Linked DNA regions of Lepisosteus oculatus. The protein of the gene in region 4 purifies or fractionates together with the protein of the main gene of each other region. This does not show direct contact. Links are inferred from orthologs where the notes say so. Each region holds a gene or a part of one and is shown on either strand. Other genes may lie near its edges. The genes, in order: Na(+)/H(+) exchange regulatory cofactor NHE-RF2, wdr48a, akt1 and phlpp1.

Region 1 (7,719 bases), on a different chromosome or scaffold from region 4:
CTCTTTGCCACCCGCTTGGGCTCCTCGTTGCTCAGGGCGACCGGCTGCTTCAGGATGGAGCCGTTCTCCTTCTTGCTGGGCGGCGGCCTGGGCGTGGGCCCCGAGACGGCGCCGCGTGCCATGTCCTCGCTGCAGGTCAGCCGGGCGCCCTTCAGATACTCATCCGTTTCTCTGTCCACCACCAGCAGCCGCGTCTCGCTCTCCAGGGCCTTGATTCTCTGCACCACCTGCAGCCGAAGGAGGACAGCGGGGGCTGAGGCTGCTGCGAGGCCCACTCCCACCGGGGTTTTACATGATTAAATAATTAAATATCATTAAATTAGGTACAAGGAAAAGTCCTCCTTCCGCTCTGCAGACAAATATGGAAAGCTCACCAAAAATACAGCATAAGGAGCAGTGGACCATTTTCGCTCCGAGCTGAAAATGTGTCAACATTGCTGACAAAGCATTCTTATGTCGGTATCTCCTTATGGGACAAAATGTGGAATATTTAGGTTTAGAAGTTGGCCAGAATCTGATACAACTATAAAAACAACAATAATTCCTGCTTTGGTTCTGACAGAACATCCAAATTGCACATTCCAGCAAAATAAAAAAGACCAAGGGTCTGTTTTGGATTTGTTTACTACAGAGGAGGCAGTTTACACCCTGACAAAATAAGGATCTGAGAGTAAAACGAACTTTGAAACTGATTAAAGTAAACCAGATGACATGTATGGAAAGCCACAAAGAAATGAAGTCTACTGTAGGTATGCCACAGTCTGCCACAAGGAGCAGTAACATTCTTGATTGAACCCACCAATTGAATTTATTGAGTCTCCACTTGGAAGCTGTTAATCCCCAGTTTAATAGGCCCTTATCTCCCCTCACAAGGGTGAATGACTCCAAAAACACAAAGCAGAGAGAGGAAAGAATGTAAATACTCCCATGGAGTGACTCTATTCCCTAGGAGAGTGCCAGCTCTTGTCTTTGATTCATGGGGTTTGGTGAGGACTTTAATATGAAGCATCTAATAGCTCATTTAACAAAACACCCTTCTTTAATGTGCAAAGACTTTTTGGGATTTCAAAGTTCAGACTATCCTTGTCATTACTGACAATAAAAAAAAAATGTCTCACCTGCTAAAGAAAACAGAATTATTATTTTTTTGTGTTTCTTAATGAGCTGGTCAGTTCACTAAGATTCCTGTAGACTCACCTTGAGTGCCAAGATGGCTAATACAGCTTTCTAACAATACTAACAGACAAATAAATGTAATGTATTCACCTATAATGTAATCATTGCATACTAATTTTTCACCTAATTTGTCAGACTAAGGGCTCATTAAGTTATAATTATTTTCTGCATTTTTATTTTGTGATTAAACAGAGACAGGAGAAAATCTCTTCCCTGCAAACCGAGTCCCAGAGCAAAAGAGGGAGCAAAGCAAGACTGATTGGAAACTAAAGTTTTTTCGTTGGACAAAAAAAGCACAGCACAAGCACTCCAATTGATAAATGAGAATGGCACCAGTTGTTAAACTAAAATACTACTAAAAATGCTGAACGATATACAACAACGTATATGACCTTTCAGTAATCCATACAGGTGTTAAAAAAATGTAACACTTTTTCTATGTGGCAAAACAAAACATTTTGACAATGAAGCTACAAAGTATTTGAGGAGTTACGTCCTGAGAACTACTACATGAACGATTATTTTATGTGCTGAACTGTCCCTTCCTTGGAGACAATTTCTCCCTGCACACAATGGTTCTGTGCTGGTACGGCCAACTGCACGGAGCAAACAAACACCCGTTTGTTGTGGCATCAGTCATTTGTCTTCACAATAACTTCCTTGGCTATGCGTAGAAATTGAAAGAATAAAGCATTTCGTTTGTTACGAGGAAACCGAACTCAAATAATATAAACAATGTCATATGATGACATTTATTTAAGAACCGAAAGCTTCCACTGAATTCTCTAGGACCTAGGGCATTCCCAATAAACCAAGCAGAAAGGTTTCAATTTACAGTAACTTCGGGTGTTCAAGCGCTTTTTAAAGGGCACACCAAGCTAAATGCAGTGCCAATAAAACCCAGAGTTCGGTTAAAAAGGTTGGTCAGATCTAACCTGCCCTCAGCTTTCCAGTTCATACCACCGGGCAGGTCTTGATACGCGCACGGTACTGCAATTTCCAACGTTATTTGGGCAAAGAAATGACGGCATTAGCGCAAAAAAGATGGGGTCTGGGCACAGTTTCTGGGAACATTGGCTGCTTCATCACCGTCACAAAATACGACCGAAGAAAGGTCTAACCAAAGGCTGTGGGGGCAACGGGATGTTCAGATAGTGTTTCGGCACTTACTTGGTGATGCGTTTCTTTTTCCACGTTGTCACCGTTCACCTCCACCACCCGGTCCCCTGCTCGGAGCCCAGCAGCCTCCGCGGGTGAGCCCAGCTCCACTTTGCGTATGTACTGGCCACTTTTCCCTTTCTCGCCGTGCAAATGAAAACCATACCCATTCTCCCCTTTCGTCATGAAACAAAGCCGCGGTTTCAGCTCCTTGGTCATGTTTGTCACCAGACCAATTTCTGCGTTTTCACTTTTTGTTATCCACCTGAAGACTACTGTCGTCCTCTCCCAGTGCACGTCCGCCCGACTGCTCGCTCGACGCAGTCCCTTTAAACTTGCTGCCGATAATTTTCCAAAGACCCGAAATGTGAGGATTATCGCTAGGGATTTTCAAAACATTGACCACAAAAACGAAAAACGCACAGGATGAAAGTTCCTTAGGTTAAAAGTATATCCACAGGCGTTTAACATTCTTTAATAACAAACCACAAGTGTGAGGCGTAATCCCAGTGGTGGTCGTCTAGAGAACAGCAACAGGTAACCGGTTTCCAGTTTGTTTTGCGTGTGTAAGTTTTTTTTCCCTTCGCTATTTTACGGAATCGATGGATTTCGCGGCATAACGGACTCCGTTTTTTTAAGTTTTCCCCCTTGTTGGGCTGCTGTCATTTTGAACTACATGAGGCTCCAGGCCATGAACAGAAACTAGCTCAAGCGCTCCTTCCGTGCTCCATCCGCAACACTCAGCTGGGGAATTAGGATTCAATTACACGACAAGGTTTAAGTAAATAGATGTGTCGCTTAGATCTGTTACAGCTCAACAGCACCACCGCCCTACCAAATGGCTGCTTTAAAAAAAAAATAAAACAAGATCTCGACATCAGTTCCACTCTCTGACCACTCTGTGAACTAATGACAGTCCTTTCAAAGATGTTATCCTAACCAAAGGCTTAAGACTTAACTGAAAATCTTTTGTTGTGGGTACTTTTCTTACCTTTGGATTCTTTTTTTTTACAGATGGATTTATTCTACATCAGTTTTTATATGTAAAGTCTCTGTTTTTTAAAGGTTTTAAAATACGTAAAAAGTTCGGACCATGCGTAAAAGCGCGAGCACTGAAATTCTTTTTCGCGATCACGTTCACTATTTTATTAATGTGCTGGTGCATTTCTCCAGTGACGTGACAGAAAGAACCATAATTTCTGTATTTTGATCAGGAAAAGCGCTAAAACACAAATAAGTTCAGCTGAGATCGCTTATCTACAATAAGCTACTGTATTTAGTGTAATATTCCAGTAAACTACTATTGCATTAAAATAACCCAAGAATTCACATAAAACAAACAGGAGCTATATATTTTCATGAGGGTAGCTGCATCAGCATGCGTAGGCTGCAAAGGAACAAGTAATAGGTTTATTCCATGCTGAAAAGAGAAGAAAGAATACACAGCGTTTCGGCCGTGGAGCCCCTCCTGAAGAAGGCTCCACGGCCGAAACGTTGTGTTTTTTCTTCTCTTTTCAGCATGGAATAAAAGGAGTCATATTTGTAAAACTATTTCATGGGATATTGTGTTATAGTTACTGTATCTGTACAGAACGTGTATTCTGAGGTAATGCGATTTTGAGTGCGTTTTTCTACCGAAAAATGCCATTTTGTTTTACGAATAATAGCAAGTCGTTTATTGTTATTAATTGAAGCAATTAATTTCGCTATGTGCCACTTTCTCTGGGCTGTTATTGCACCCGGGTCTCGGGGAAACGTGCGGCAAGTGTCAGCGACTCGTGCCTGAGGAGATGACTGGGCTGTCGGGAGAGCAGCTTCCTGAGCCGGGGAGTAACAGACAACGCTCAAGACATCCTAGAAAAATAAAGGTGCGGCTCTTTTCGTTTAGGTAAACTAGTAACTGACTCAGTAACTGACTTTTTTTTGCATACCAGACAAGTTAAAAGATTCTACTAGGTCGCTACAAAACTCAGAAATCTACTTGGTATGAAATGATCTCAATTTGCCCGTTGAACATTTTTAAATGAGATTGGTAAATATTATTCGAAATAAAACCTTTTTTATTTATTGTAAACTATAGACATGTAGCACATTATTGTCTGCAATGCCGATTTACAGAAGGAATCGACTAGAAGTTTTCAAGTGTCAACATCTATTACGTTTTGCTACTTTTCTCGTGTGCACTTTCGTTGGTGTACTGCCACATGCTGGAAAACACGCGTAACCGCTCTCGTAAAATGTCGACGTTACGGTAGGTCGGCGCACATGTACTTTTTTATCAGTTTCTTTTTATCTTTAGTTCAGCGGATACTAGGCCACAGGCGTTAAAATAAAACAATTAACCATAACAGTAACACAACAGATTTAAGATGATATAGGGTTACTACACGTGAAAAAATCAAACGCACAGAAAACATTTGGGGAACAAGAATAAGAGTCAATTTCAGGACAGGTTAAGCTATTTGAAAATCCCTCCCGGACATTGATTTAAGGAACTAAAAGGAAGACATGATAACCCTCCATACTATAACACGTTGTATACTGTACATACACTACAGACCTTAATGTACTTCTGCATCTAGACATCAATTACATGTAACCTACTTTATATACCATAATTCTGTGCAAATTAAATGAAACTGCTCTTTAATTGGCAGAACAATTGTAGGGATAGTCAAAATACCGTCTTCTGTGGCTCTACCATTCCACGCGCTCAATTTAAAAATATTACGGTGGTTTCGGAACTAAAATAAATGGGCAGTTAACGCTTAAATTGCTTTCAGAAGGCTTACCCGTTTTCACCCGAAGCAGTTTTTAATGAAGATGGTCATGTAAAAAGTTAAGCTAACATATAAAATCATAATGTGATGTTCACACCATGTCGAATAATTATAAACATATTTTAAAACGTACAAAACCAGCGGAAGTACCAATAATTCTGAGGTTCAAGGAGTCTGGAGATATACTAATGAGAATCAAATCTTACCATAAGGCAAAGCTGGGGATGTTTAACAAAGCTCACAAAACTATTTAACATATTTTAATTTTGCTTTAAAAAAATGTCTACCACAACCCCGTTTCTTAAATCAGATTATTTGCATGACCTTTTAAACGTCCATGTGAAAGCATGAGGTTTAAATGAATGTAGAAGTGTTACCATGTGCCATTACAAATATATGCAGCACGACAAACAATATAAAAGTAATACATCAATAATAAATGAATACATTAGCAGATAGTCAACTTACATAATTAACAAAGGCTTAACAACTGAGGTAATCAATTTAATCTTGGCAAATGTGGTGCAGAAATTAGCAAGGTAGGTGTTTTTTATTGTAATAGCAAGTTATCCTTATTTACTACAAAAACTGCCTGGTAATAAAATACCACAGACACATTTTCAAAGATAAGCCAGGAGCAATCAGTGAAGTACAGGTTTCTCTCCAATGTTTATTTCGTAGAAAGAATGATTGAAAAAATATTTACAGAGGAACAGAACATTGGACTGTAAATGACTGTTACTGTTTATTTTCTAAGGAAAGGATGTTTTATCAAACTTCCCTACAAATAGTTTTTTTTATCAGACACTTCAATTATAAGTGGAAAAAACAAACAATTTCCAAAAGAACAAGGAGAATCATTTGGATACAACGTTTTCTTCAAGCCAAAACAAAGAGTTCTGAGTTATAATGTGACACATAAGCTTCGTTTCCAATGACATCTGGCTTTTTCCCCACTACAGGTTTTTCGATAAAGATAAAGTCTTGTGGCAGCACTTGAAACACTGAACGAGAACAAACCATTACAGATAACTGTGATGATTAAAAACCTCAATGTCCCCTGGACAATTGGTATGAAAACCCGGGTCCAAGTGAGTGTGATTTTCGGCACATTCTCGGAGGAAACAAAACAAAAGACACCTGTAAACACCTCCAGTCCTGCAGCCCAACCCAGTTGAAACTGGCAATACTCCTTTATAAGAGTGCTACAGGAGTGGACGAGAGGGAAGACGTGGGTATTTGACCTCCCTGAGACTCTGTTAACCCCTCTGTTTCAGTTAGTGTAAGCCTCAGGTGTCTGGGTCAGACACCTCTGTGAAAGAAATGCCTTTGTTTCCTCCCACACCACATATCAGTGTGATACTGGGATCCAGTTTTATGTTTAACTGCTGCTGCGGTTTCTATGCATTGACTTTTATTCCTCATACATCTTGGTCCCTATAATACTCAACTAAACTAACATTCATCCATCTGCTAATCAATAGGTCAATATGGGATAAGTCACAGGGGAGCCGGAGCCTATCCTACAAGCAATGGGCACAAGGCGGGATGCTCCTCGGATGGGACGTGCAGAAGCAAACACACACACACACACACACGCCAGGGCCAGTCCTCCCAGAAGCTAATTCACACACCAGTACGTCTTAGGCAGGAAACCAGAGCACCCAGAGGCAACCCACGCGGACATGGGGAGAACGTGCAAGCTCCACACAGACAGCACCCCGGGGATTGAACCCAGGGCCCCCGGGGGCCGCGCACAGCAGAGCTCACCACTGCGCCACACGGGCCACCCTCCTGAATTGGCAATCAAAACAAAATCCACGTCCCCGATGAAAAGAAACAATTGGCTAATGAGGAAAACGTTTGGAAAACTGGCACGAGTATCCCTTGTCTTGAGATAAAAGGCAAATGTACGCTAGTAGACTTTAGGAGTAGGGGTCTTTGGAAGGGGGCTCATGGCTCCTCTTCTTGTTGTAGCTGTTGGCATAGGGGCAGCTGTCCTTATTAAGGCAGTCTGAGCACAGCGGGTTTATTGGCAGGCACACCTGCTGGCCAAAACCAACTAACAGCCAGTTGATTTCACTCCAGAGGTCCCTGAAATAGATTACTAGGATTAGTAAATGTCGGCAGAAGCACTGCTTCCAGACAACTAGAGAAGGTGGCAGAGACTTATCGCATTATTTAATTTGTGGCGTACCCAAAAAACGAAACTTTGGCAGATTTTTTTATTTTAGTGATCAAAAAGTAGTGAACAAAACTGTCAACCCCACAGAACACTTCTGTCCCTTTACAGATAAGGGACAGTAACTAGGCCTCCAAGCTGTGGCTGGCAAGCTGTGCAGTTACCTTGGCAACCAGTCTTCCAATGCGACTCTGGTCTCCTCGGGAGTCTTTGTGCTTTTCTTCACCCATCCCAGCCTGTTGGCGATCCGATGGACATGTGTATCCACTCCTGGAAGACACAGATGCCTTTGCAGGTCGGGAACAGAGAAGCGCGAGTTTGCTTTAAGGGCCCACGATAAAGGTGGACCGGAAAACATGAGTCATGGGACATACAGGCAGTCATCATCTGTCCCTGCATTTTACAAAATCGCAAAAAAAGACA
Region 2 (8,145 bases), about 1.0 Mb from region 4:
CTCTACAAATGTAGCAGGTGCGGATACAATACTTTATCGCCCATGTTACACAGTGCACAGGGAATTTGCTCTGAAGTTGCAGATAACCATGCAACTTGATTATGTTTTAACAGAAAATAATTACACTACATTACACCAAAGACAAAGATATACTGCATGTCCTGGCAGGTTATTACAAATGGAATTCCACAAGCTTTAGGAAGACAGAGTTCATATGCCTTTGGGATAAAAAGATCTTTAGGAAAACCACTGATAATGGCTATCAACAGTATGATACCTGCCTGTAAAGTGAGAGGCGAAGTGATTAGACATTATGATTCCCCAGCATGTGTTGATGAGAGAGATTCTTGGAAAAAGTCAGTTATGAGTTTACTGGATATCCACTTATGGTTAAATTACTGAATTATATATTAGCAATTATGCATTTTTGTTACAATCAATCCCATCTGACAGATGAATGAGTAATCACGAACTATAGAGGTTATATAGTTGACAAACCAGTTTATGAAGTTCATGAATTACATTGTTTCAGATATTCTTGCATTTTCTTTCTGAAAATGTGTCACTGGGACACAAAGATAGTCAATTCCGATAGACAATATGAGGATATCATTACAATGTAAGCATTTTTTGTGAACATAATGGCGTTTTATTTAAATTAAACGTTTCTGCTTTGCTGAGTTGGGACCCTTGGTTCAATTAGTCTGTGTGGAGTCTGTATTTTCTTTCCATGTTTGCTTTGATTTCCTCTGAGTGCTCCATTTTCTTCCCACAGCTCAAAGACATACTGTACTTTTAGATTAACTGGCTTCTAGAAGCTTCTAGGAGCACTGTCCCTGGTTACAGCACAGCTCCAAGGGGATCCTACATACATAAGTGGTTTTCATGACTGTGACAGTCTTCTAAAAAGCACACAAGTTTGACAGTGGAAATGTTTGGTAATGGAAATGATATTGGAAATGTTCATACTTTGGAAAAATAAAACATTTTGGGAACAATAAAATGTCAAATAATTTTGCCTGTTGTGCTTTTCATGTCTCTGCTTATGGCTACAATTCCCATAGCCACAGGAGAGAATGAGGAAGTGCAGCTCGACTCCTCTCACCTGCCATCTTTGAGCCATTCATTTTATAACGTGTCACAGACAACACAGACCTGTACTGAAGGTTCAGTGCTCACTGGAAGAGAGTCTGCCCGTACCTGTGAAACCAAAGGGGTTGCCGTGTCAACAACAGCCGAGAAAGTCAACTTATCTCACTCTGCCCCTGGTGGCACTCAACCATTTGTGCATAGTCACTTGGGGAATCCCAGTCACAGGTGGTGATACAGGGTGGGAATTTAAAAGCCAGATGAGGAATTAAAAACCAAAGCCGAAGTCTTGATTTGAAAAAAAAAACAACAACTGTATTTTGAATTTGAACTTAATTTCTGAGGTATTTAGACAACTTTATTACTGATTAGAATGGAGTAGAAGATCATTTAAAAAAGCCAGATTTTTGGTACATTATATATTTTTGCAGAGAGTATAACATAAATCCATAAAACTTTAATATGGATTTATGTTATAATATGTCAAAAACAGTGTACGGTATTTGATTTAAAAAAGTGATGGCATATCTATAAAAAGTAATATAGTTCTTTCTGAAATGTAGTAATAAAATACTATTCATAATTTATTCTAAAAATAAGCATGTAGTGTGTATTTATTAGTGCACCATATTACAGTAATTGCAAGATTGTGCTAAGAAGTTCAGCTAATTATATCATAACATTTTTTTTTCTGTCAGTAATGGAAAAGCTTCAAAAGAAATATTATTCAATGGATGGAAAGTTTGTTTTTTTTGTACACTTTTAGTCTTTACTAAAAAGGTCTTGCTGTTCTGGAAACAAAGATCCTGCTGAGCTAGTCTCAAAAGAATGTACTACTCCTGTAGCCTAAAAAAACTAAACCTTTTAGTTTCAAATGGAGCAAACTATGCAGAGATCTGGTTCAAGCACTGAAAACTTCAAGGTATTGACAAAGTCAGCCTTATGGGTTTCTTAGCAAGGTACTGTAACACAAATCAGAGGATCCAAACAGTAACTAAGGTGAAGGCATGTCTTTATACAAAGCCTTGTGGGAGGCAGGTGAGCTACAATACTTAATCATATTGTAAAAACCGATACCCTAAAAAAAAGACATAGGGGATCATCAAATTATTTAGCTACTGTACTACCAAATAGGCTAAATAGCTCAAATGGTTGCCTCTTATTTATATGCATTCTTTTATTTTTAGTCCAGTGTGTAGAATGATGAATATCTCAGTATTATTTGGTCTGAAAGAAAGCTAGCATTGTCCTCATTTCCTCCATGTTGGTACATGGGTCATAGCAGTTAACTGAGTAACAGGGCAAAACTGGGATCAAAATATATAAGATAAATAAAACATGAATTAAAACATCTGCCTTGTTTAACTTTTTTCCTAGACCTGCCTTAAGGGGAGAAGGAGTTTGGAGTCTGAGGCAGAAACATAACATATTGGAAGTGGAATCAAGAAGTAGGGTCTACATCATATGGAATGCTTTACAGAGAAATAGTGTGTTTTTTATATACGTATCTACAATTCTTAGCATAAAGATGTTGTTTTGCCTGGCAAAAGTGATCTCTTAACATTTTAGGTCTAAATAACAAGGTCAGACAGGCTTACTTAGTAAATATGCAGCTCGGCATTATTCCCAGACAAAAAAAAAGAGTAATTTTTAATCTCAGTGTTTAACATGATCATTGCAGCGGAAGAGAAGGCACATCTGTCTCTGCTCTGCTCTAGATAAACTGTGAGAGGACATCTGGATTTGAGTTGCTCTTTTTTAATGTGATGATACTCTTTTCTGAATTATGTTTTTAAAATGTATGGCTCTTTCTGACATTTCCAAAGGAAAATACAGAAAACAACATGAATGTGAATGAAAGGGATTGGTCTTTAATCAGAATAATAGGACAGCATGTTGAGTTCATATTGCACATATCACATTGTTGTGGTTGGGAATAGGCTAGCCACAAGAACTAAAGGATTTATTTTGAGTGTTAAATTAAGAAATCAATGTGCTTTTTTATTCTACAAACATGGTTTTAAAAATGGCAGACTAATGCAATTAAAACACACTAGAATCAATTTAATGTACCTTATATATATCAGATTTTTAATACCTGAGCAATCAAGAAGACAAAATAAAAACAGATACAGAGTTAAGAAGGCTGTGACTGCTCACACACCACTATCAGAATGGCTAGACCATTGGGCATAGACAGATGGCAACCAGATATTTTTTTAAAATATCAGCAGATCCATGACCTTAGTTAAGTACTTTGTACTAGGCACCATACCTTTAAATTAGTGCATCATATTCCACACACCTGTCCTTAATTTTCTGTAGTTTTATTCTTGATTTTTAAAGATGCTGATGAATACATAACTAATAGTTACCTGGACTTAAAAATGAGTATAAACCATGGGCATTAGAATAATTTCATATACATCGCATCATCCAGGTGGGGCTGCACATTGGTGGTGGTGGAGGGGAGTCCCCATTACCTGTAAAGCACTTTGAGTGGAGTGTCCAGAAAAGCGCTTTGTAAGTGTAAGAAATTATTATTATTATTATTATTATTATTATTATTATTATTATTGTTGTTGTTGTTGTTACTATTTTACTGATGGCTTTATCCATGATGAAACTCAAGTTTTAAAACAATCAATGAATTGTAATAATGTATAACTCAGTGTGGTATAATTGTATAATTAGGTGACTATTTTTCTATCACATAACAATGACCAAACAAAAAATGTATATATTTCAGTATCGCACATTCAAATAATAATACAGTGTGTATAAATAACAAGCAAGCAGTTTGTCTTTTGTCCACTGGAAGCCTATTGATAAATAATTACAAATGTTTTTATATAATGATAATCTGGTTTTATAATTTTATATTTTTTTCACTCTAACAAGTGGGAAAAGAAGCATAGTCGTCTTGAAGGGTTAATACGTCATTCCTGGGGGTATTACACAGTTCAGCTTTTGTAGTGCATGTTTTGATTCCCCACTGGAAAAAAAAAACTCATTATAAAAAGAGATGGAATAGCTAACCTTATATGTTTCCATAAAAAATAACTTCTGAAAATTAAATTATTTTACTTATATTGTTTCTCCTTCTATCCTCGACATTACAGGTAATGGGGACTCCCCTCCACCACCACCACTGTGCAGCACCCACCTAGATAATAATTTGTTTCACTACAAATGTATGCTACGTTTATGAATATTGATCTCAGCTTTTACATGACAAAATCTAAACATACAAGCCACCTTCGTTATTTCATAGATTGAACATAATTTGGACCGATCGTACAGAATGTGCCTAAACAGTAATTCCATTATCTTCCAGCTGGGAGGGTTTGGGGTTTATCAATGGAACAAGGAAATACCGATACACTATGTACTTTCTCCATTCAATGAATGTGCTGTATTCCCGTACATTAGTTGCACGATGACTTATAACCTGTCTAGAAATATCATAATTGACTTCCCTTAATTTAGATAAAAAATGCAAAATAAAAACATAGTTCAGGTACGGATCTCCATGCTTTTGACAGAACAGGTACAGCGTCTCCTTTCGGTGCACTCCTATCGCCCCAATCAACTTTACGGTGACCGTAGATCTGCGATTAGTGACGCAGTTATTTTACGGTGGAAGACGAGCGTCCTTTTTTATAAACTACTGTTCTTATATTATTTTATGATACAGGAACCGTATAATCTGTTTTACGAAAATCACACACCGATATATATTGAAGTCACAACAACGATTAATGTTTTTTTTTCGTTAGGAAAACGATTTGCCAAGTTCATAGCAAAATAATTACACGTCTAATTACAGATTTTATTTTCAATGTAATACGCAGAGAGACATGAATCACGAGACCATCTATTATTAATATTTTTTCCAGAATGGGGTTCTTAATGGCATTGTTTAATTCTCATCTTTTCTCTATTATATGGTAACAAGACTCCCATTTAGCGTCAGAGTTTTTCGTTTGATTGACAAGGCCCATCCGGAAGATTACGCCTTCGTTCCTTGGTGGAAGTGACGTAGAGCTGTCAACATGTAAGATGGCGGCTCATCACAGGCAGAATGCTGCTGGGCGGAGAAAAGTGCAGGTAAAATCTGTTTTTTCATCGGATCTCAGTATGTGGAGTGAAGGGTACAGGTTTAATTTAGTACAGTGACCCTGGGTAAGGATGTGTAGAACATGCGAAACGAGATAAAAAGACGTTCGTATGAACAGTTGCATTGATGTGGCTGGAATAGGGCAGGTGGTGTTCACTTAGAGGATGAGTGTACTGTAGCTGCAACATTTAGAAACTGTACTGCATTGCAATGCTCGACTAATGGGGTTCAGCTTTATATTGAGCGTATGAGCCAGAAGGATCGCTGATCACCGCATAATCGATAAATCATTCAGGTCTCGTTTAAATCTGTGAGAAAAGGTAGATTTTGAAAGGCCCGGGTTCTTGGCGGTTCTATGCAACTAGCTGTTAATTCAATGGTTCTCACAGTACTAGTCGTTGAATCCGTGTTTAGATGTACAGTATTAATCGCGGAACACAGATCTGTTAAGATTTGTTGAATAGCGAAATATGGTTTATATGATACCGAAAGTTTTTTTTCTTTATATTTTTTGATGACCTTAACCTATTTAGATTAGGACAGTAATTTCGATCCAGGTGACACCAATTGAATTATTCCCAAATGGTAAATTTGTTACATATCGTGGTATGTTTCGTTAAAATACCTGTCTCTGTAGGTGATCTGTGATACGTATTTATACGTGTATGTGCAGTTATGAATATGAAAACAGTGTATATTATATTATACAGGTATTCACAGAAGGGTGGCATTAATTGAAGATGATGGTTTTAGGTTAATATTTCCCTGTCTTGCTCATTTTTGTTCTAATTGAATGCTTCATTAGTCGTTACTTCATTAGTACTGAAACCCTAATTGATGTATTTGTTTGATGTTTGAGTGAAGATTATTATCGGTCAATGTAAAGACACAAATGGGAAAGACAGGCACTCGTCTAAGATTAAATATTCTTAGCACTGTATAAACCCATTGGTTAAATTCCACCTTGAAACAGTACATCTAGATGACATGAATTCTGAAAGATGATTGCTTGCATAGAGCTGAGTTTTGAGTTTTTAGAAAGTCAACTAATTTCAGTGTTCAAAACAAGGTTTCTCTGGGACTAGGATTGGGAATTACTGTTTTTAGATCAGTAGGTCCTGCTGTATGATCCAAATGTACTTCGTTATTTCAGATTCCATAATGGAAAGGCATGTTTCTAGAGGCAGCATACTCCCCTGACTTTATCTCTTCAGAAATATTACTCACTACTAGTGTCTTTTGTGATACTGTCATTTATTTGCTTGAGTTTGACTTGATTGATGCAGGAGTTTATGTACAGATACTTAACAGTGACTAAAATATTTTGGTACTCATGTTAAGAAACACAATGTGAAACCGTAGTAAATACAGAAAAGTTGGTCTTTTAATGATTTAGTGTCTGGTACACATTTCATTATTAAATTGTCCTTTAGTTTTAATGAAACCAAGACATTAACAGATTTTTTTTTCTTGATTTTGGACATGGACTTGATTTAAATGACAATCGTAAGACTGATTAAAGTGCTTACTGTGGTAAAATGTAGCAATTCTCTTGCTTTAAAGTATTCAGATGTACTGTACATTTGTATGTGTTATACTCTACAAGTAAAGCTGCAATAGTCCAAATGTATCTTTTGTATATTAAAATGAGAGCATTAAAAGAAATGCACCAATCTATACATGTGTGTTTTTAGAAAACTCTGCTTTCTGTGTTCTTGACTGGTCGGATCAATCTCCTGACCTCAATGCACTGGAATGATTGTAGTTTAAATTCAAGAAAGCAGTTCACAAATATATACCAAAGGATCAAGTAATAGGTTTATTCCATGCTGAAAAAAAGAAGAAAGAGAACACAACGTTTCGGCCGTGGAGCCTTCTTCAGGTGTGAGCCTGAAGGTCCTTTACATACCAAAGGATGTAAAGGACCAAGAGCAATGCTGCCTGGGGGAATGGCCAAAATTCCATACCTGGAGGAAATGCCAGAACCCTCATGGCACAATACTAGGAGACCTATCTTTACAATCCATGCAGAGGGAGGATATATGAAAGATTTTTCGGTTTCTGAATTAATTTGACTGGTGTGTTTTCTGGTCGTCTGATAAATTTGACTTTGCTTTGTGCAATGCTATCAACACTGCAATGTAACATTTTTAGGATTTTTTTAAGCAAGACACATTATTCATTCCATAAATCTTTTTGTTCTGTGTTCTATCTCTTATTTGATTAGGTGAAAGAATAAAGCTGGAGGCCTCTGTAAATTGTTGCGATTGCAAACGCCTGATAAGAGACTGTTTATAGCACTTCTCACCATATCAATACATTTTATCTCTTGAAGCCCTACATTGCGTGTGCTGACCACTAAGCCATTAACTCATTTTTTTCCATGGCCAGGACATGTTGAGGTTTTACCATTTGTGAACTCTACACCTTCTTTACAAAACCCCAGTAATAACTGGAAGAAATCTGAAAGAGAAGGCGGTGAGTCTGGTTTCTGCGATACGTAATGTATCCCAGGATGTTGGAACCTGAACGTCCTTATCTGTCGAGATAAAGTTATCTGGTCATTAAGTGCAAAATGTTTTCATCAGGAAAAAAGAAGAGATGGGCCGTTGTTTGGTAGCAAGTGTGTATCATAACAGAAACTGGAGAATCATTTGACAAGGTGTACTAACAGTTGTTTTGGGTGTTTTATATTCATTTTTGCTCAGTATTTCAATTTGTAGGGGTATTTTTTCTTGAAAGAAAAATCAGCGCCCATTAATAAATGTACACTACACTTCATTGGATGTCTCTGCCTCAGACCATTATGGAGAAATGGGCTTCACTGCACAGGGCCTCTCTCCCCAAACTGATTAAGAGCTACAATGTCACAGACAGTTTGACAGGGAAGAAGTAATGGAAATGTAACTAAAACCTTTTAGAGCAAAGTAATAGCG
Region 3 (7,515 bases), on a different chromosome or scaffold from region 4:
CAAAGCTACAGGCTAAATATTACTTTGCGGGTATTTTACTTTTGTTATAGTCAGGCTACTGCTACATGGTAGTTAAAATCACTATGGTAATGGTGGCACACTGTACTACATTGGTGTAGAGAGGACAGATCCAGTCCATGTCTTCGACACACTCAGTTTGATAAGCTTATAGAGGAGCACTAATGTAGCACCCAGGCTCCTGGGATTTAGGAAGGACACCCAATTAGTTATACACGTGCATCTGCAAACTCTCCTAATATTTATTAATATCATGTGCAATGTGAATACAAAGGCCTGCTGCATGCAAAGTTCTCAAGGCCCAAATTTAAACTATACCAGGATTGACAGTATTGTACACCAAAGTCTCTCAGAGCTATCCCAGCATTCTAGGATTTCACAACAAAGAAAAATCCTTCCAACTCACTGTGAGTGATGAAGACTGTCTGGCCATTTAGTGAGAAGTAAATGTCATAATACACAACCTCCGACTGGGAGGTGAAAATGGCTTTGAACTTTCCAAAGCTGAGAAGGCAATTTTAACTGGAAAGCCTTGTTTTTAAATAAAAATGGGCAAAATTCCTCAGTTGGTCTACTCAACAGAGGAAAGAGGAACCTTTCAAATAGATCCTTTTTAACACATCACACTAACTAAAAAAATGCAGATGAGTACCTGTGGTAAATCCAGGTTGTTGTTTGCTAATGCAAATGAACTCAGCCTCTAATGAAACTGAAATAATTTTCAGGGAATGTAAGCAGAAAGCAGAGACACCCCGAGTAGGAACTCACAAAAGAGTGTGACTTGTGGTCTTGAAAGATGAAGAAGTTATCACAATTTCAATTGAAATAGCCTCTCAAAGACTCAGATGCTACATGTTAACATCCCTCTAAAGAGGCTCCAGTGTCTGATTTTAGATGTATAATGTAAGAGTGAATATCCTCAGTCTATCAGAAACTACTTTTTAGTTGCACTCCTCAGGTTTATGGGCATTCTCCAAATCAAAAAGGACTGTACAATTTTCAAATGACTGCATGATGTAAGACTAATTATGACACTGCTGCATCACCTTTCTGATGGAAACCTCCATCACTGTACCTCCCTGACTGATATTGGACCACATTCACTACATAGCTACTTTCTGCACAATGCAACACATAAAAGAGAACTCAGGTTTGTTTGTTTTGGTTTTTTTTTGCTTTATGACTATAGCTACTTTGCTATTTGCCATTAATAGGGTTAGGTTTCAAAAGGGATATAACTGATAAAGCAATAATATTAGTAAAATGCTGATGTGCAAACTGAGCATGTTGTTACTTATTTGACTTGAGAGTGCAGTGTAATTGTGGTAGAGAAAATTGTGCTACACTGCCGACTAAAATTTTAAAGAGTGCTCCATTTTTATGTTTGTCACGATAGTACGACGAAACAAAAAGTACAATCACAGAAACGGTTGATAATGTTCGTTTTTTTCTCACTATCAGATTTTCTCGAGATAAAGCTGCTGTGGATTTTAAAGCCCATTTGTTGATATTGGCAAGAATCCTTAGGTTCTCCAGCGTGAACTTACTACAGGATTGCCGAATAAAAAATGAATCAGACAGCTCGTTCTAATATAACAACACTTCAGTACTGCTGTGGGAGACCTGTCTTCTACTGCCCACGTGCTAATGTCATTTATCATAACCCTGTGATTACTCTTCGTCATTTCTGAAAAACTAAGACAATGGTGAATTTGCTATTTAGTAGAAATCTTGGCTATAATTTATCGAGCACTTATTATTCAACTTGGGTAACAGTCTATTGCAAAAACTGAAATTAACTCAGATTAAGTTAGGGTTCGAGATCGTGCATAGGCGTAAGATGTCAGTAACGTTTCCAGACAGCGCTTCATAAAACCGATTATTTACACTAAACGTCAGGCAGTAGCAAAACGTAGCATTCCCCCGTAGGACGTAAACATTTGCAGATATAAAGACAACTGTTTTGGTATTTGAAATGCATTGCTACCTAATTAAATGTTTATGGCGCCAAACCTTAAACATAAGAGTTGAGATATAAATATTTATCTAAATATATATATATTCTAACAATATCTTGCACGGACGGATCAAAAGACGTTCTTTTTTATATAAGAAACGCCAGTAAAAATGTAAGGCTGTTGTAAAAAGCAAAAGGTCTTAAAGCGACACGATCTAGAAAAGACCCAAATGCAAAGGCAATATCGGAAAATCGATTCCTGTTGCTCTGAAGAGAGAGAACAAATCTGCAAAACGGCCACTGAAGTTTGTCTTTTAAATCGCTTGTTACTGAAGCTGTATTTACTTTACTCAGTGAAGTGAGGAAACAAACACTGAGTGGACTTTTAAATTCAAACTGAGGCTTCGGAGATGTGCGTTTAAATTCAAACTTCCACAGAGTGCAGAGAAAGGCGAGAGATACAACCATCGGCCTAGACATCTCAGAAGCGATCACGACGGTGTACAATACAAAAAAAAATGACCAATTAAAAATCAAGAGAATTTTTCAAGAATTAAATTCTCAGCGGTAAAGCCTAACAGAACACCAAAGTTTGGGTAGTGAAGTAACTTCGTTACAAAGCAGAAAATAACGTAAAGTAAAATGCGCTGAAGAATTCGGAATATAGTACATATATTTTTATCTTATTTTGCTAGTTTTTGACTGGGCTCTGGGCCTAGCCAGGGCAGCCTGGGTGAGAAATAGCCGCATCCCATTCACTACAATGGGATTTTGCCTCTATGGCTGCATTCGGGCACAGACCAAAAGCAATCAGTAAAAATGCAACACTTTACCTGCTCCAAGGTTTCACAAGTGACTTCGGGTCATTATTATGGACGCCCTACGCGTTTTATTAAGCTGCTATGTCCTTCAATAGTCTGCAAAATTCTTCTCATTTACTCCGTTTCTCTTGCTGGTTCTTCCACTACACCTCCCAAGCCTGGTCTCTCTATTGCTCCTGTGTCACACAGTCCTTTCTCTCCCGGGTCCTAAAGCCGACAGATCAATGCTCTTTCACCTTATTTGCCTTTTCCCCAACTCGGAAAGGTTCACTTTCCGCCGGCTGCCTTGCTTTGTAAGAATGAAGAATGATGACTCTTCATGCCTCCACTCAGCGGGATTTAAGCAAATAGCCAGTACCCTAACGCATACACCACAACAAACGTTATTTAACCACCCTTAGAAAAATACATATTTGTGTAACAGGATTCTTCAAATCAAGTCAGCATTTAAAAGCCTCCAATAGCAAAGAACTGTAAACGGCAAAATTCCCCTCTAGCACCTAAAATCAGTTTATCAGGTTCAATAACAACACGCTGACTGTGCGCTTTTTAGCTTTTTTTTTACTTCCTTACCAAATTTTAACATCTAGTTTCACCTTCATTGCACCAGCAAATTCCAGATATGACAACGGTAGATAATACTTGGTTTAATCCCCCTAACTGGTCTGGTGGAATCCTCATATCACAATTTGTAACTCCAAGAATTTCCGACTGACTTTGGTGGTTAGTTTTTTTTTTTATTGACACCTGTTAATTTTTAACTAATAATCAGGACAGAACCTTAAATGTTCAGAAACATTCTAAAAACAGGAAATATACTGTATATTCACCTCACCACCACCATTCCACAAATTGACAAATAAAATGCATGTGTTGAGAACATCAGTGTGCTTATGTCATTTGAAGTGAATCAGACTGTAGATTTATTCATATTCTGGCTACTGTGCCTAACATGTCTTGAAGCAGAAGGAATTATTAGTTACCTTAAAAAGTTATATTTTTTTATTACTATTTCTCTTTGCCACTCCGGTTAAAACTATTTAAAGTACACACATTTCACATGCATACATGTTTCAGCTAAAATCTAAGAAATTGTATTTCACAGTCACACTGGTTAGGATAGAAAAAACAAAAATGTAACCTGAAACATACTGCAGTATGATGAAAAATATTTTATGTTTATGTCAGTTTATAGTATTTAAATATATCCACAATAATTGCATAATGGAACAAGTAATAGGTTTATTCCGTGCTGAAAAGAGAAGAAAGAAAACACAACGTTTCAGCTGTGAAGCCTTCTTCGGGTGTGAGCCAAAATGTTGAGTTTTCTTTCTTCTCTTTTCAGCATGGAATAAACCTATTACTTGTTCCTTTGCAGCCTACGCATGCTGGGGCAGCTTCCCACCCGAAATAATAATGGTTTGGTTTCTATGATCTAGGTATATTCACATTGTCATTTATAACCAGCAGATACATTTCTAATTATGTAGTGCAGATCAAGTGATTTTTAAAAACAAAACCTAATGATTGGAGCTGTCTCTTGGGTATTCACCAGATATTTTAATACAGAATATGTGAAACACACCTGCTGAAAAAAACGTTAGTAAAAATGTAATAATAATTGATGACTTGATAGCCTCTTTCTATCATTATTCTGCATCACTTCAATATTCAGAAGACACCTAATCCTTGTGATCTAGACATACAATTAATTAATTCAAATATGTCTCAGAGCAGCGCTAAGGCAATTAATTAAGCTGAAGCAAACTAATTAGTTGTGATTGTGAGGCTAGGGGAAGAAATGTTTGAAAAGAACAGAAGAACAAAAGCTCTGGTTTTGGAATTAACATCTTAAAAAATAGAAACCAAAGATTTATAGTCTCAAATTAGATAGTATGATGTCACATATGACTACATCTGGTTATTATTAAGTTGCTTTTTTGATAGTCAGTGAATGTAACAATTGGTGCACAGCTGTCTGTGATACAGTTAAAATGAATGAAAATAATGAGTATAAATCAGAACTACACTACCAAAAATACTTTCTAAATATGTATGTCACCTTTTTTGGTAACAGACAGTCAAGATAGATCTCTTTTCTGGCAACCCTAGTATCTGAAACTGCCCACACATGTAAAGAGCATCCTGTAATTGTGGGAAGTACCACCCCCCTCCCCCTCTAAAGTTATGCAGTGCATTTCCATTTTCAGTTTCGAATAGTCAGGTATTCTTAGAAGTAGGAGTCGTGTGATGAATTCGGCCAAAATGCTGGGTTTTCCGAGATGTGCGTCTACTCTTCTGAGGAAATCCCCTGACTGAAACGGTGACCAGAAAGCTCCAAGACAAGAGGCTGCAGTCAACAGCATCCAAACTCCCTTTTTTCTATTGTGCCACAAGCTGGAGACTGGGGTTGTACAGAATAAAACAGCTGAAAAGTGAGGATTTCAAACAACTCCAAGGACATTTTAAGTGCCCGCAAGCACTAGTCCTAATGACTGACAATGATCTTTTGAAGTTCACTGTAACAGATCAATGGCATAAAGACCCTGGGATATAGCTGACCTTCCAAATAAATAAAAAATATTGCTGCTTAGTCCTTAGTTGTCCTTCCTGATGGTTAAGCAATCTTTGCCCAAGGATATCATTATTATTTTAACAATTCAGTTTTCCATTGTATGGGTTTTATCAATTGTAGCACACTGTATTTATGTTAAAACAATGTTTTTTTATTTATGTTTAGGACACTGTTTCTATTGTTAAAACTAGGGCGAATTTGTCGGTTGCTGCAGAATTTAAAAAATATCAGACAGATGTGAAATTGTATTTGTTGTGACACACCGTTAGCAAAAAACAAATTTGAAGTGTGGCACTGAGAGAAAAATGCTAAACAGCATCACAACATTGTTTTTGATAGAACCAGTATAAAGACCAGGATAATACTTAAAATAGAGATCCTGCACATAAACCATTACACTTTAAGAATTTAACACTGACACTATAGTTTGACTTCACTATGATTCTAAACATACTGTTAACATGCTTTTTGTTTGGCATTAATGAGCTTTGTCATACATCCATCACTGCAATTCCACAGAAAAATAAAACCCTGGAAGAAAACCTGTCTGTCTGGCTTTGTGAATTAGTAGCTTTTCCTTGTGCTGGTGACTCCTGAAATCAGTCAAGTACATTAAAGGATAGAAGTTGTGCTTGACAACTAAGCAAAGCTTCCTCCCATAACTGGCAGCACAAGTGCCAAACATCAGCACTCTGGTCCATTCGGAACACATCATGGTTCCCTTCCTGCCACTTTTACTACATGGTCATTTTTGTACCACTGTGTCTCCCTCCATGCACATATCTCAGCTGTCTATTTTTTTCACTGTAAAAAGTATCACAGCTCCACATATAAAAATGACTATTAAGCATTTTCAGGGGGAATGTCTGAGTCAGCAGTACAAGGAAAAAGGACATAAACAGGGAACAATAAAAAGACAGGGAAGAAGGATAGAAGGAAAAATAGACAAACACTGCACACCTGAGTTTGGAATAATGGTGCCTGGTGCCTTTATAAATTCAGGCGTGTAAGAGTGCAATGGTGATGGACCACATCTGGCACAGGCTTAATGATGATCAAAAAGCAAACCACTAATGTAGGCTACAGCTATGGGTACGCTTTAGTGCAAACATCATACAACTGCATAGCAACAGCAAAACTACTGTCCTTTATTATTGAATTTTATAGTACCCTGATGAATAATTTGTGCATAAATGTTTATGCAGATTATGCCATTGAGCCACATCAGCTGGTTTGCATTGGCACCCAGTCAGTAGTGCAATCAGAGCTGAAAATGTAGTAGCACTTGGAAGCGACAAACATGATTTCTATTCTCACTACATGTTTAAATTATTTTAAAATGGGCTCAAAGTTGGAAGAATGTGCTTGCTTAAGGCAACAGCAGGCTTTTCCAAAGGGGTGGTGGCTATTTTTTTTTTGCTTTAAAAATCACTTGGTTCTGTTTATTCGGACACATTTTTAAAAGAGATTTCGTACTGCAGCTGTAGTAACTGTTCAGCTGGAGTTCGGCGATGCTGATAAAATGATACAGGTAGACATACAAAGCTGCTGTGCAAATTTATAACAGCTTACTAGTGTAGTGCCTCAGGCTTGAGCGCTATGACTTGATAGCAGATTCCATAGGAATGTGAGCCCTTTGTTCCCCCCTCACAAGGAATGTATTGTGGTAACACTGGTGGGGAATGCTATTGATGGTAACAAGAAAGAATGCATCTCCAGGAAGCCCATTCCCATGTGAGAAACCACACCGCTCGTACTCTGCCAGACCTTGGGCAGTCCAGCCCAGCCCCAAAGCACAACTGTTGCTTTGTTCGCCCACACTTTCAAGCCAGACAGTCAGTGTTGAAAATAAGAGGGTCACATTCACCAAGGATCGTGCACCCACAACTGTCATTTGCACCCATTTGTGTTATGGCAACTCATGTCTCCGTTGTATGAGCAGAACTGTACTTTGCATTTTGATTGATCCATTTTCTCACAGTGTCGTGATTTCTCTTCAGTGGCTTATAGTACTGTATGTAAACTTATTAACAAACTGGGTAGTGTCAATCATTCTGCACATCTATTTTACCTAGCTCCACGATTCTTAAAAAATTAGTATTGGAAAACATTTTTTTTACTTTAAAGTTTATTCATTAGTATAA
Region 4 (7,543 bases):
ATGGCATCACGCAAAACGAATCTAGTTTCACATGACATGTAGGCCTAAAGGGATTTATTCTCCTACTTTCTTATCCCTCACCTTTTACAAGTGGATTAAATTAAAACCACAAAGCAAACACGGAACTTTGACATCGGCAATAAGCAATAATGGGCAGAATCTAAAGCAACCACAGCACATTTCAGAATACGTTCATAGTTAAAACATGGTTTCTGAAAAACCTCCACACACCCACAAAAGAGTCCTGCAAAGATCTAAAGTGGGATTACCTTCTACAGTTATTCTATACACTACTACAAATGGATGATCTTATTATCCATTTAAAAACAAATTTGGCTACACAAATTTAAACAGGACACAATTTCTGTGTACTCATCCATACAATAAACTATTCCTTCCGTGAATGAACTTTAAAACTCTTTTAAAAAGACTGGATCAGTGAGAAAGTACACAGAGCTCCAATGACATTATGAATCACACTGCTTAAACTTCCGGAGTGCAACATCACTAAATCCTTGCAACCAAGTATAAACTTTCTGTGGTTTGTCAGGTGTCTCGTTATTTTAATGTATTTAAATCTGTTTAAGCATGATTTTAGAAGACTGATATTTAACCTACACTCACACCAATAAATACAAGTCTTAAAACACATTCTGCTGGAATGTACTGAAATCAAATGCAAATTGACTTATCCTGGATTGCGTGAGTTGAGTTATTCAATACAAATTCCGGACAATGAAACTACACATCCCCTCACGTCTACACGGTCTCTTCCAGGAGCCAGCGACCTGCACCTGCTGCCTCCAGATGCCGCGGCGATAAAAAAGCCGATCGGCCACCAAGACGACCCACTGGCTGCCCAGGCAAAAGTTAATCTTTTATTAATGACAGAGGTACTGCAGGCGTCTAGGCTTACACTAGCGGCAGCTCGGGAAAGGCAGTGCTCGGCCCAGGTCGAACACAAACCTCGCCAAACTTAAAAACACCCTCTTCTTTCTGGCTGGGATACAACTGTAGCTGCCGCGCACAATTAAAGCTGTTCGTAACGGCCAAAAAATGCGACCCATTTAACTGCAAACACAACTGGCTATGCGACGTAAAAATGTTTCCAAATCATCCATTTACCTGCGTAGAAACGTATCATACAGCCTATCTCGGCGTCCATCCCTTCTTCCTGCACCCTCCACGGGTCTTTAAATCCCAGTTTAAAGAGGTAGTCATTCTGTATCTGAAGGGGCTTTTCTTCGGGCTCCAGCCGCCTCGCTGCTTCGCCGTGCAGCTGGACGTACAATGTCGGGGCAGAGGAGCAGCGGTCAGACCCCAACTCCGCTGTCCAGGTGGAGGTGTGCCTGGCGGCGCCCTTGCCTGTCAGGCTGGGCCTGGGCTGACACTGGCCGCCGCTACAGGGAAGTTTGGCCGAGCTGAGCGGGTCGTGTCTGACGCCTGGTCCCCGGTCAGCCACCGCTCCGTTGGGAAGCTCACAGCCGCACAGCCTGTTGCCGACTGCGTTGTTGTTATTCGAGATGGCGCTGCCGCTTTCTCGGGCAACCTGCTGCAACTCCTGGGCAATGGAGCTGGGCAGCTGACTGTCCAGATCCAGCTCGTCGGAGGAACTCCCGAAACCGTCGAGCCCCTCCGGTGCGCTGTCCAAGCTCGGGCTGAGGCTGGTGGACGTATCCGTACCCAGGATGATGCCATCGCTGAACGAGTCCCGGTGGTCGGCGAGCTGGGCCGCAGCGCTGAGCTCCTCGCAGGTGCTGCTGTCCACATCCGAAGGAGAGTTTGGTCCGCAACTTTCCTCTGCGCCGCGTACAAGCGCGGCATCGGCGGCAGGTGACATCAAGTCGACGTCGGCGTTTGAATTGGTATCCGAAGAAGGGCTGGTAAAATTCTTCCGCTCCGACTGCGGGTTTACTCTGGAAGAATCAGTCTCCAGTTGCTGCCGCTTGTGGCTCTTCCTGCTCTCCGCCAGCGGCAACCTCAGCCTTTCTGCCGGGGGGGATGCCAGGCCTTCCCTGCACTCCGCATGTTTCGCGGAGTTGAAATGACCAAGTTGGTCAGGACCGTCCGCCACTTCCACGACCTCCGGGCTGGCACTGGGGGAGCGCAGCCTCTGCTGGGCACCGCTGCCCACCCGTCTGCCGTTGCAGGTGCCGTTTAAGTCTGTCGTGGGGCTCCCTTTGCCGACCAGTTTCACCACGGCTCCTCCTTTGCTGCCGAGTTGGTTCAGCCGCCGCGCTATCTCCCCGGCGCTGGTTTCCAGTGTGCACAAAACTGGCCTGAGGTACGAGGGCACAAGTTTGTCGTGGACGTGTAAGCAACCCCGCTGGAGGTCCGCTCTCACCCATTCCCGATCTGCCGGCTGCAGTTGCATGACCTGACGGTGCCTCAGTAGCATCTTTCGATCCAGGCTCCGTGTGCTCAGGGCGGAGGACGAAGCGGAGCTCATGTGGCTCCCGGAGGAGGCAGAGGCTGAGGCTGCAGCTGCAGCCGAGAGATTTCTCTTCAGTCGTCTCCTCCTAAGCAGCAGTGAGTTAGTGTTACTGGCCAAACCTGAAGCACTCGTGGTTGCAGGAAGAGAAGGATTTGTACTAGTTTTACCAGTGGCCGCTTGAACCTGATGATTTCCATTGCTGGTTGCTACGTGAAGGAGAGGGGCAGATGTCCCTCGGAGACCCCCACTCTCCGCTTTCGACCCGCCGCCTCCGCCATCATCCACCGCCGCTGCAGCCCCACTACCAGCGGTAGTGAAGCTGGATCCTTTCTTCAATTTACCGGCATGGCTTATTTTGCCAGTTTCAGAGTCCGAAGCAGCTGTCCCGACCGCTGTGGAAGAGCCATCCAGTGCCAACCTGCCGTCCAACACCACAGCCCGCGCACTTTCCATTTTACGTGAGTGGAAATAACGAAGAAAATACACTTAATGTGTTAATTAAAAAAATAATACACAAGCAAAACTGCGCAGGCTGGCCACTCACTCCGGGTCTTACGCCATTGTAAATCCAGTTGGTTCGTTTCTTGCTTTTCTCAGAGCCGCTCGGCAGCTGCCGAAACCGCCATCATGGAGACTGTGGCAGGAGAAACTCAAGCGTAAGTAAAAAGCAAAGGGGGGCGCGTCAGTCCCTCATTAATTATAAAATTATATGCGGGAATATTAAATGAATGTCGACAGACATCCTACGTCAGCGGAACTCTGTTTATATTCATAAGGTGACATCTTAAAGAGGAGGGTCTAAAATGTGGGAGGCTGTTTCGAAAAGAGCTTTGTGTAAACATCTTTCGTTTTCCGACACTGCCCCCCTCAGGAAAGGTGGAACTATTCAAGCAGAAAACGACATATTCTAAAAGTCGTCAGAAACTTTCTATTTCGAAACCATGAACGTGCTGTGTTTTTTTACACCTGCTTTTCAATGTCTGCGCATATTCACCCGGCTGTTGAAAAAAAAAAGGCTGTAGTGTGGAGGTGTGCGGGTAGTAAGGAACAAGAAGACTTTAATCCCGCAAAAGTGAAAAGAAAGAAGAAATACGTAATGTTTCGGTTGTGAAGAGTTTTTCAGGTGTGTGATCGTATTGTTTTCATCTCGAGATCTTCTTGTTCCAATTGTTAAAATAAGCTAAAAGCATTCAGCGTTGTTAAAAAAACTTGAACGCTTGAAACCGCTTTGGTAAAACATTGTTAGGACCCAAACTCATACACTAAAAACAATAACGAAGACCATTTTACAGATGTGTGAATGCTAGTGGACTGTTACATAATATAACGCAGCGTTTGCTTACTTTTATCTTTTGCGTAAAGACGAGCCATTTTAGTGTTTTCAGTTGCAGAAAGTAAATATGTAAAAGCATGAATATCGGTACACAACTTGCTCTCTAAAAACCAGATAACCTGGAAAACAACCTGGAGACAACCCTGGAAAACTGGAATATTAAAGCAAGTACAAAAAATATTTTACGACATCCAGACAGCAGCAAATGTCGTAGAGCAGTTGAGCTATTTTAGCGGTCAAAGTTGAAAGTAGCTTTTAAATAACTATATTGAGGATTGATAGTCGTAAACATTACAGATCTTGCTCTGTGACCTTCCTGTACCTTTTGACAAAGACAACTGCAAAGCCCTTGCTGTTAAGAGTACATTTTGTACTAATATACTAGTATGTTACCAACATGTAATGTAAAACCTCAAAGATATAAAAAAAACATTACTTAGATTTACTTAACACTTTATGTGTTATGAATGAAAGTCTTTCTTTTGAAGCACATGCATTTTAGAATTGGTTATACACTGTCGGTTACAATTGAGATACTTGCATATGAGTAGCTACAGACAAAAAAGAATCCTGCTTCTTTGGTTTCCAGTAGTTCGTCGGTCTCAGTCTACTCCTGCCATTTCTTGAATGATACTCGTGAGGTGAGCATCCTTCCGGACCTCCACATGACCCTGTGTGGCATCTTAACGTCTGGCCTTATACTTGTGGCACCAATAAATCATACTTATATCATCCAGCTCAAAGTAGTCCGTTTGACTGACCTAATCAAACAAAACCCTTCTGTAAACTGTATAGTTTTAATACTACTTAAAGTTTTAGTAGTTCACTATATATCCAAGCATCCTTGATCTTTTTTTAAATCCCTTCTGCGAGTTCTTTACAGGAGGATAATACTCAATTATACCTCAACAGATCAAATATCGAAATACACTTTCTTGTTGAAATTAATCATTTCTTCGTTAAACCAAAGTTTAAAGTAGCCGCCCACATTTAAAGCTCCGTGAAGTTAATACTTGCGGCAGCCTGTTGCTCTCAAATACGTCTGCACTTTGGTAGGACATCACAAGATGCCATTTACAGTGCAGGTGAGTAATTGCTGCTGTATATCAAGAGACCGGGTGTCAAAGAATATGAAACCAGCTTGTGACTGTGGACGACGTTTTCTTTCTCGTGAACCACTTCGACCTGTTTAGGGACTGGTGGAGGTTGTTTTGAGAGACATCCAAACATCCATACGTTATTAGCAAGATCCTGGTAAGGATCGGAGCAGCACGGCCTATCCCTGAAACATTAGGAGCAAAGCATAAATATATCTCGGATTCCGAGTGATACTTTTAAGATATGCGTCAGGAGTACGTTTGACATTAGTGACATCTAGTGGTTAAGATGAGAAAGAAAAAGAAAATTGTTTTTCCGAAAGTTTCAGAACGTTAATTCTTCATTCTAAAATATTTTTTTAAATACTTAATTTTATATGTCTCATCTCATATAAAGTAAAAACACAACCTTTACCATTACAAAATAAATACAAGATATTTAATGAAAATGCAACGCTTAAACATATACTGTTATCAGTACGATTCTAAAAGAGCACAAATATAGACTTTCAGATAACAAAAGGCCCTTAAGCACTTTTGGAAGAGAATTCCAGCCTTGATGTATAAAAGCAGAATGCACCATCATCACAGATTAATTTAAAAAGGGGGTAAGTTACAAAATCATAGACAACACACTGCAGACTATAAAAGACATGCCACTAATGTAAACTGTAGTAATATCCTTCACAGCCTCATATGTGAGAAGGATAATTCATTACTGGATTCCAAAGGGAGCCTATACAGTAAAGTGATACTTAAACAGATGTTACCTACTTACTGGATCTGTGTATGTGCATTACTATGATGCATTATGTGCATTTTTTATTGCAATTGAAAAAATATCAGCTGATGACTGCCCCAGTCTACACAATTCAGTAGGTTGGTGTGTTCTTTTGACTTACCTCAACACATTAAGGAATTCAAGCACTTTATTAAGCACTGCATACCCACACTTCCAAATTAAAGGTAGCTGAAAAGCCTCAAGACACTACAGCAATAGTATAATGGCTTCTGTTCTACCGTTCAAAGCAGAGGACCAACTATCACCTCTCCTCTCCCTTATGGGTACCAGAGCCATGGTAGAGCACCAGGGTATAGCTGCTGAGCTGCTGTAGCTCTCTCTCCTACAGAGTCCCCTCTCTCAGCAGAGGAAGTAAATTTGGACAGGCCATCTGCTTATGGGAAGATCTGTTGGTGTAGGGCTGGGTATGGTACAGTTGTTTCTTCTCTTAAGTTGGTGAACCTATTTTTCCCATAAATTGGTGCTGTTTGTACCAGTTTTAATTCAAGGTGTGTGTCCTTGAGCCCTTCAGTCCTGAAAACCCTCTGAATCTGGGGGGCTACATTATATCTGTATGATTTTAATTTAACCGACATTCTTGCCAGATAAGATCACACACAGACCAAATAGTGATTTGTTGGGACCTACCAACATATAGGCCTTTGACAGTATGCTACATAACTGAGGTAAGAGACCCAAGCACACACCCTCAAACCTAGGGACAGTTTTCCCAGAAGCCATTTATTCTAACAGTATGTCTTTGGACTATGGGTGGAAACCAGAGCACCCAGAGAAAACCTATGCAAACACATGGAAAACATTCAAACTCCACATAGATAGCACCCCAGGTTCAGAATTTAACCCAGGGCCTCAGAGCTGCAAGGTAGTGATGTTAAGCACTGCTCCACCATGCCACCCCAACGCTGCAGCAATGTTGCTTAAGTTGTGTTTTTTTTGCTGATTAAGCTTGTGGTCCCTGCAGCCAGGTGAATGTTGGTTACCACAGTGTACAACCCATAAAAAAAAAAACGTTTTCCTACAATTAACTATTATATACATTAGTGCCATAAAATATGTATTTTAACACTGTTCACTTACAAATATCTTAAGATTTAAAAAGTAATGTCCTGGTGTCCCCATTTTGTTAACCATTATATTGTTATGCTTTTTAAATGTTGGTTAAATGAAAGCAGAGTTGGATTCAATATTATGTGACATATAGTATGTTACACTGCCAACATCCAGGCAATTAGCAAAACATACTTGGAAATGATTGGAATAATTAAAATTACTTTTTGCTTTTCATATAACTGTTGGAAACTGGCTATATGAAAGAAACACTGTGTGAAACGTAAAACTACTGGAAATACTAGTAATGCCAAAGACCTGAAGAGTGATGATCTTGAATTTTATTGTAACCCTTTTCTATTCACTGGTTTAGTAGCATATTACACTATAATGTTGCCTTCTAATAAACTTGGAAATAATATATCATGGATAACCTTGGCCTTTTTTCTCTCTCTGTGCTTCAACTCTTATTCTCCAAAATATGTCATGATCATCATCATCACATCCCGTTCACTTACTTAACTGTAACTAAGTGTAACTACTAACTACTCATTGGTGCAAGACAGGATGGATATATCCTAAATGGGACCCTAGTCCATCACAGGGCACACGTGGACACAGACATGCACACACTCACAGCAGCACCAAATTTACAGAAGCCAATTAACCTACCAAAGTTTCTTTGGACTGTGTGAGGAAACTCAACATTGGAGAACTCTAAATCCACACCGGTAGCACCCTGGGAACTGGGTGCTGTGAGGCAGCAATGCTAACAGTGCCACCATGCTGCCCTTTAAAATAAGTACCCTATGTCAAAAGAAACATGATTA

The links.
Region 1: the proteins of phlpp1 (region 4) and Na(+)/H(+) exchange regulatory cofactor NHE-RF2 purify together in Homo sapiens (affinity purification with mass spectrometry; 3 studies listed by BioGRID and IntAct, with this or other methods). This does not show direct contact. The link is inferred for Lepisosteus oculatus from reciprocal best matches to the Homo sapiens genes PHLPP1 and NHERF2.
Region 2: the proteins of phlpp1 (region 4) and wdr48a purify together in Homo sapiens (affinity purification with mass spectrometry; 5 studies listed by BioGRID and IntAct, with this or other methods). This does not show direct contact. The link is inferred for Lepisosteus oculatus from reciprocal best matches to the Homo sapiens genes PHLPP1 and WDR48.
Region 3: the proteins of phlpp1 (region 4) and akt1 purify together in Homo sapiens (affinity purification with western blotting, with the first as the bait; 3 studies listed by BioGRID). This does not show direct contact. The link is inferred for Lepisosteus oculatus from reciprocal best matches to the Homo sapiens genes PHLPP1 and AKT1.

What each region holds. Positions count from the first base shown.
Region 1 is NC_090714.1:2,507,245-2,514,963, forward strand, and holds the start of Na(+)/H(+) exchange regulatory cofactor NHE-RF2, read right to left. Parts: upstream 3,173-7,719; 5' UTR 2,554-3,172; coding exon 2,347-2,553; intron 228-2,346; coding exon 1-227. Other genes in the region: nthl1 (endonuclease III-like protein 1), read right to left, coding at 7,040-7,208, 7,461-7,566.
Region 2 is NC_090701.1:35,350,273-35,358,417, reverse strand, and holds the start of wdr48a (WD repeat-containing protein 48a), read left to right. Parts: upstream 1-5,097; 5' UTR 5,098-5,151; coding exon 5,152-5,199; intron 5,200-8,145. UniProt on the Homo sapiens protein: Regulator of deubiquitinating complexes, which acts as a strong activator of USP1, USP12 and USP46. Enhances the USP1-mediated deubiquitination of FANCD2; USP1 being almost inactive by itself.
Region 3 is NC_090703.1:17,257,766-17,265,280, reverse strand, and holds the start of akt1 (RAC-alpha serine/threonine-protein kinase), read right to left. Parts: upstream 3,105-7,515; 5' UTR 2,809-3,104; intron 1-2,808. UniProt on the Homo sapiens protein: AKT1 is one of 3 closely related serine/threonine-protein kinases (AKT1, AKT2 and AKT3) called the AKT kinase, and which regulate many processes including metabolism, proliferation, cell survival, growth and angiogenesis.
Region 4 is NC_090701.1:36,367,100-36,374,642, forward strand, and holds the start of phlpp1 (PH domain leucine-rich repeat-containing protein phosphatase 1), read right to left. Parts: upstream 3,096-7,543; 5' UTR 2,888-3,095; coding exon 1,126-2,887; intron 1-1,125. UniProt on the Homo sapiens protein: Protein phosphatase involved in regulation of Akt and PKC signaling.